Linked DNA regions of Drosophila melanogaster. The gene in region 2 interacts genetically with the main gene of each other region. Each region holds a gene or a part of one and is shown on either strand. Other genes may lie near its edges. The genes, in order: Tsp and fon.

Region 1 (3,925 bases), about 13 Mb from region 2:
TTTAGTTTGTAGGGTGAATGGAGAGCTATGGTAACACCTTTAGGTAAATATTTGCACTTAGATATGCATATTTATCAACTGCCATTAAACACTCTCCTTTGAATCATTAAGCCGGAAGCTTGACCAACTTCACTCCAATCAAACCATGTCTTGCCAACTCCCACACTATTTCCAGGTGCAAGGCATCTGGCCTGGTCGGCATCAGTGGCCAAAGCCACGTAACCCAATTAACCGGCGAAGTCGTAAAATGACAATATTTCCTAGAGCAATTGAAGGCTGATGATAATCCCAAACCCCCCTAAGAGTGTTAGAAAGTAGCTCACTTTCGTTACACTGCACAACAAAGTCACGTTCGCTGAGGAAAAAAAAACACTCCAGAAAGCGCTGCACACGAAGAGCAGGAAGAATGCGTGTAATCGAATCTTGAAGACCGAAAAATAAACATGTTAATAATACAATTTTATGATTAATACGCACTGAACTGCAGTGCGAGGTGGTGGGGTAAAGGTGGGGCATTTCGGAGGAGATCAGACTTGATGTTGCTGTTGCGGCGTCGAAAAGTGCGTGGGACGTCTTAGCTCGTAACCACTGAAGATGCTGGGAACAACTCGAGGAGGATTCGGACGAGGAGTGTGTGGAATGGGGCGTGGGGCCAGCGAGGCTTATTTATAAATCACGCACATAATGAAATTTCAGCAAGTGGTCGCCGCTGTCCGAAAAGCGGCAAAATATGCAGCGTTGATGTGGGATAGCATCTCGGGTGTGTCCGCAGCACCGCAACTCCGTGATAAATGCACATCTGCATAATGCCCTCCTCCAACTGTCCGCTGACATGCCGGCGACATAATGACGAACAGGTCGGGCCATTCATTCAACTTCCCTTTCCCTTGGATCCCGATGCTACTGTCGTGTTACGCATCAGTCCCGTGTCAACGGCAAATAGGAGTGGAGGGAGTTCCGAAATGGGGGACACTTGTACTGCATAAGTAGCCATTAATAGGTGCCATATGCATATCATTTTGGGCTCTGGTTTTAACGAGTAGTTCGTCTGTTTTGAATGCCTGCAGAGCGTGCCGTTTATTTACGATCTCCATTTCAAAAGAGCAAAAGTCTGGCCCCATCCACCGAGTTCCTTTGGATTTGGAGGTGGTGGTCGAAAACAAGGATGGACGCATTATCGGAAAAGGGTTCGCACGAATCCGATTTAATGGCCTTAAACGGGCCTACAATGTAAGCATGTTTCGGGATTGAGTTTCAGTTTAATGGCCCAAACGATCTACAATTGGGGCAGCCCAAGTGGGCGACTCCACCATAATAATTGGTGGATAAACTAATGAACTGAAGACAATAAGTAATTACCCATAAATATAATCACAGAGAGCGACTTTTAACCAAAATATTTATTCTTACAAATTACACAGCAGTTTTAAACAATATATTACATAATTGCAACTTAAAGCGCACAAACGAAAACTGCGCTGATCGTTACAGAATATTTAAAATAACATTTTCTATATAGAAAATAAATTTTAAATTTCCTATATTTTAAAGAAGATTACCCATTATAAAATTTTATTTTTTACTAAGGAAGCGGAAGATATGAGATCTGAAAGTTGACTACCACTTTTTCCACTCACTTCCTCAATTATTCAGCAGCGATCTGGCCACACTGTCGATGTTTACGCAAATTTTGCACGTGGGCGTCGCGGCTTACTCACGCGTCAAATCAAAAGAAACACAAACGAAGACAAAATGCCGCGTTTCTCCCAAGAGCAACAACAACAGCTGAGAACAAAACAGAAACGCAGAAAGGCAACAACAAGTTGTCGCTGCTCCAAGTTGCTCCAGCCAACAGCGCTGCCGCTGCCTCAGTCGACGCTGCGCGTCGATCATTCCCTTTGCATTTTCAAATTTTCAGTTTCAGTTCGCGTTGGAACGTTGAACAAGACGGTGCGTGTCCTAGGTGCTTCGATAAGTGATCAGTGATTAGTTTTGGCGATAAATCAGTAGCATCAATCGATCGAACTATCGCGAGAATGTTTCAGTTTTCAAACGCTTCCTAAGTGTGCTTTTGAAATCAGCCCGCGCTGTACAAAGTTTTTTGCCCATATTTTTAAATCCGATCGATCCTCAAGCAGCATCCTCTGCATCCAAGGTGTCCAAGATCGCGTCGCGTTCGCCTTAATAGCATAAAAGTGTTTTAATTTTTATTGGCACGAACGGGCGAGTCAGTTGCGGAGCAGTTGTCGTTGCTGGAGGATTGTAGGCATTGGCGTCGCGTGTTCTCCACCGCGATTCCATAAAATCGACTCCACGAAATCTTCGCGTGTGTCCCCATTCCAAAATCCAGCTTTTCTACCTGGCGCGTATTTCGAAAAGGGTTTAAATGGTCTAATGCATCCGTTTCGTTATCGATTCTTTTAGTGTGAAGATACCCTTGCGACGTGTTTGATCTTTCGCTCTGCAAAAGTACAACATAATAAAAGTGTCTGTGCGGGCGTCCAGGAAAAAGCGGCGGAAAAGTGTGGCAATACTCGTAAAAATAACTCAGGTCGTTTCCATTCTAAATTGCGCGTTGACAGCCGCAAGTGGCGCAAACGAGCCGCACAAACAACAAGGAGCTGTCAGTTCCGTCCCGCCAAGTGGATCACTTGGATCACATCCACATCCGCAGTGGGGGCACCTCTAGAGCAAGAGCAGCGTCCTTGACCACGAGGTGAGTGTGAAGGTGGGCCAGACCTCCGGGCTTCTACATATGCTGCTTATTCGTGTGGCCAAAATCTGGGCTACACTCCGCTCACTCGGAAAATGAGTGCGCCAAGTGGCCAGGTGCGAAGTGCATTCCATATTCAAGTGCCTGGAAGGTACTAGAGCATATTAAGTTGTTCTTAAAGAAGTTGCGTTAATAATGATGCATCATCTCATTTTTAACATATTCTCAGGATCGTAAAGATAAACGAAAGATATACGGAAGTAATCACGACTTGGGTCTATGTTTATTAATATCATTCATTTAGAAAGTTATTAATAGCTAAATGCTAATTTCTTGTTTTCAATCTTAACAGACTGTAGACTAAAGAATCGCATCTTCTAGCTGCACACCCACAGCAGTTTAACTCCTTTTCATTCGACTTTATTGCATGATAATCACCAAGTTGTTGATAGGCCAATCTATGAATATTTTTTATGAGCGCCTCACAAGATTTCTATTCATTTCACCGCCATTTTATATCTGATGATAAATCAAGCTAATTGTTGTTGTAATTCAAATACTATCGATACATATTAATTAGCCACACCCAAGTCAACCGCAATCTGGCGGCAAAATCGGCCTGTGGCATCCTCACCATTCGAGCGACATTAATCTATGGGGGATCTGGGGAGATCTTATCTGCATTGGCGCCATAAATACCGCAGTCGAGTCATAATTTATTAATTACCGGACTTTCCACACGTATTTAAAGCAGATCAGATTGAGGTTTATGCCTTTGCGAGAACTATAATTATGTGGATCATATAAGGTCAGAGCACAGAATATTTTCCCCTCCAACAAATATGAATTGTGATTCGAAACGGCAGCCACAGATTGCTAATGATGTTGACCAAATGAAGCTGGTCACATTCCCCAACAACGGTTAAAATACTTAATTTTATTTGGCTCGATTTCCCAATCACTTTGCAGCTTCTACTGGGCTCTGCTACTCAATTCCAAGCGATTCAATTAAAAGACGCCCACTGCAAAGATCCCCATAACAATTTATAACTGCCTGTTCGAGAGACATTTCAGACTTGCGGTTATTTTATTATTTGAATATATTATTTAGCGGCAGTGGCGTTGTGACCCGAAGGGGTATTAATCTTGAAGATGTAGTAACCAATAGTTGGGAGATACTTTTAGCTAGGCCTATGACTTCGTTGTATCGAT
Region 2 (3,925 bases):
TGCCAAAGGTGGAGGCGGCATTCGATCCGTAAGTCAAACGGCTGCTGGCAACTGGCTGAACCAGCTGTGGTGCGGACGCAGTGGTGGTCACCTTTCGTTGATAGTAGTGTGCGGTTTGAACTGGGACCGTCTGGGTCACCTGGGTAGGCTGTTCAACGATACGTTCCTCGTGATGAACGTAACGCTGGGAGCCACCGGGAATGGTGTAGACCACCTGTTGCGGGGTGGACACAATCTTCTCGTGCCTGTAATACTCGGAAGTGGGGACGGACTGCACGGTTTGAACTCCGCTGAGCAGCTGAGCACTGGAGTCCACGGCGTTTACGCCACCAAAGTCAACCTTGTTGCCGGCATTGGCGTTATCAGCAAACTCCACATTGCTGCCCACCTGGTGAGCGGCGGTGCTGCCGAAGTTGGAGGCGGAGCTGGTCTGAAAGGCGGCGTTGCTGGAGAAGGAGCTACCGAAGGAGGCAGCATTCTGGGCGCCAAAGGAGGCGGCATTCTGGGCGCCAAAGCCAGCAGCATTCTGAGCGCCAAAGGAGGCAGCATTCTGGCCGCCAAAACCGGAGGCAAAGTTAGAGCCGAAGGAACTTCCAACACCAGCACCAATGGTGTTCGTACCAGCAGAACCACCCAAAGTCTCAACGGCACCACCTAATCCGCCAGCGGAGGCACCTTCGGCGGATTCAGTCGCACCCACGGAGTCGTAGGAGCTCTCGAGTTTTCCCAGAGCAGAGTCATCAACCTGAGCGGAGGCGCCATCGACGCCAGCTCCAAAGCTACCGCTATAACCTCCACCGTAGCCGGCGTTCTTGCGAGCCTGCTCCACCGCTTGTCCGTGGGTACTGTAGTGGCTGAGGATTAAGGCAGTTGACAATTAATAGAGAGAGATTGTCATTGGGTCTTTTAAAAGATCTTAGAATCAACAATTTTAAATTGTAAAAGCAACTCAAAATAAACAACAAAAATTTAATTCAGCATTGATCTTAGTTTTGCGGTGCTAAACTAAGCTATATATTTGTATTCCTTTGTTGATTCTAGACATATTTTTCTAAAATTTAAATTTCAAAATTTTGAAGTACCATGTCAGCCAATGGGAATATTTCAATTTTCTCGATTCAGAAAAGAAAGATCGTTAACATTTGCAACAAGGCACTTACCGAGAGTGGAAACTGTCACGTTTGGTTCTCCCCAAACTTTTAGATTTAAAAAATTTAAAAAACAAACCATTAGAATGTATATTAAATGAGGCACTTCAAATTAAAATTACCTTTGTTGGAAATCTGTAATGATAAAAAGAGGAAAATGTATTAGTTAACGTACGCAAGAAGATTTCAAAATCCCATTTAATCAAAACCTAAATACGAAATTGATAGAAATTTAATCACTTTAAGTTTTTCGTTTAAAGATATTTCTCATTCACTTTAGAACATATTTTTATTTCCAAAGAGTTCACTTTTTAATTATTATATTTTATTACAACACTAATCAAGGGAAAATAGTTTGTTTGCCAGGCTTGCCAGGACCACTTGTTTAATTTTCTGAACTAGTTGATATTCGGGAAACGAGTGCACTACCTCCACAGACCACACCCAGGCAAAGGGCCAAAATCAGCAGCTTATTCATTTTGGCAATTCGTTTTAGCTCTTGACCGAAAAATACGTTCGACACTCGCGATTTAAATTGTACTAATGCAATCGAGCGAAGGGAGCTCCGCTTTAAAGCCTCAGACGGCGGTGATAAGAGCCACTTATGTATAACTCAGTCTTGAACTGATTGATTTCTGACCTAGAGAGAATGCCACTGATAGTACACGTAGAATTGGAGCTCGCAATTGGTGCAGAAAGCTGCGAGTGATGAAAGTTAATTGCGACATCATCGCCCTATATAGAATATTTTTTATATTCAGCTTTGATGATCGGCGTGGAACCTTGCTCAAGAAAGACCCAGTATATAGTTGCCATGTACGTCTGCCGACATTATCACATTTGCGATTAATTACATATATGTATACAAATTATGTTTATAGGTGGGAACACAATGCTAATGAGCTCCCATTGAACTTAGAAAAAACTGCGAGCAAGGTGAAGGAATATATAGAAAAAACCTTGAGCTTCAAATTAAATTCAGGAAGTACTAACATAGAACTATCTAAGTGGTTATGGTGGGTTTTCCAATTTTTGTCAGCATATTGTGGTTACGAAAATAAAAAGTCGGAAATAACAGAACAGAATAATATAGAATCAACTTCAATGAGATAGAACACTTCCGGTCACCTTTGATACGACCATCCGTCCAATACAAAACGAAAACATTGAAACAAATTAAGTAAATCTAATCTAGCAAACTGAATTGTAAATACTAAGCATTTATATACCTAGCAATGCCAACAGCAACGTCAAAATCAAGGTCAATATACAAATGTATATACAAATTTGCATTTTTTTTTTGTTTTGCCTAAGCCAGAAAGGGAGAACGAAACTTTCTAATTAAAGAAAGCTTCGCTTTAAGCCCCCGCCGATAAGAAAGTCCGGCAATTTGACAATAAAATACACGTATATTATTTTTATATTTTATACATATTCAATGGAAGCGGTTTGCTTTGTCAGACCGGAGTAAATGTTAGCCTAGCCACCAGTGGAGGGTCTCCGCCGATCTTTCTAGGAGTGCACCGAATACGAGGTGATCTTTCCGTTGTCGTTGACCGTGGTCTGGGCTCCACGTCGACTGGTTCCGTCTCCGTTGCTGTGGCTGAAGGACGAGACCGAGACGCCCTTGTAGCCACCACCGCTGCCACCACCTCCTCCGGAGCTGCTGGAGCTGGAGAACGAGGATCCACCACCGCTTCCGCCGCCAAAGCGATTCACAATGTTGGGAGAGGCCTGAGAAAGAGTTAAATCAGCCATTTGATTATTTGAGCTTATAACCTATTTATATAATATTTTAATTACTTTTAACTATTCACAGATACAACAGATACTTTAAATGTATATCCACTTTGACCGCACAAGGCAGTTGGATTTCTTACCGGATTGGATGGGCTAATGAAGGCCGTCTGGCGATAGCCATTGGAACCGATAGATCCGGAAGCTGATGCATAGCTGGGTGCATAGCGATGTGAGTTGTAGGATCCCGATCCAGATCCAGACCCGGATCCAGAGCTGGAACTGAAGCTAGAGCTGGTGCCTCCTCTGTACCGATTCTGGCGCACTAGATTGTCGTGGTAGGCCTGTTGAGCGGCGATCTGTTGCTGGATGCGACTGCGCACAAAATGACATTAGAATAAGGAAAAACATACCGTGATACCGTATTAGTGATTGGGATTAGTTAAGGACTAGCTACTTGTATTTACATATCGTTGTCGTTGACAAGAGATGCATCCGCGGATGCATAAGCATTGCCAGCCGTGGCCAGACCAGTTATAGCTCTACAAGAACAGATATATTCAAGCGTTAGGTTTACCCATAGCCCGCCGTATCACTACCCAAAGATCCCAAACAATCTATCCCCTGGATATGATCGATGCTCACTGTTGGTTGGCGAAGTTCTGGGCCAAAATATGATTCGTCAGCTGCTGGTGGAATAGATACGGATCGATGATGCCAAAGTTGGGTGAAGTGCCGCCATAGTCATCGTAATCGTAATAGCCACTACCGCCACCACCACCGGTACCCACATAGCTGCTGTGTCCACCGCCACTGTTATAGCTTCCCGTATAGCCACCGGCTCCTCCTCCACTGCTGGCATACCCTCCGGCGTAACCGCCGGCATATGCTCGTCGTCTGCGGGTCGGAGCCGTTTTTGCTGAAATGGAAAACATCATGTGGATGATAAAAAATATAGAGCTTGAAAGGTAAATTTAAATTTAAATTTGCCTTAATTTATTGTTACTCGTATGTATAGCTTCATTAGCCTATATTATTAT

The links.
Region 1: of fon (region 2) and Tsp, changing one enhances a phenotype caused by changing the other (phenotypic enhancement), as found in Drosophila melanogaster (one study listed by BioGRID).

What each region holds. Positions count from the first base shown.
Region 1 is NT_033779.5:6,707,078-6,711,002, reverse strand, and holds the start of Tsp (thrombospondin), read left to right. Parts: upstream 1-1,916; 5' UTR 1,917-2,716; intron 2,717-3,925.
Region 2 is NT_033779.5:19,384,510-19,388,434, forward strand, and holds the start of fon (fondue), read right to left. Parts: upstream 1,697-3,925; 5' UTR 1,627-1,696; coding exon 1,578-1,626; intron 1,284-1,577; coding exon 1,271-1,283; intron 1,197-1,270; coding exon 1,161-1,196; intron 855-1,160; coding exon 1-854. Other genes in the region: CG17549 (uncharacterized protein), read right to left, coding at 2,661-2,882, 3,029-3,260, 3,353-3,427, 3,531-3,804.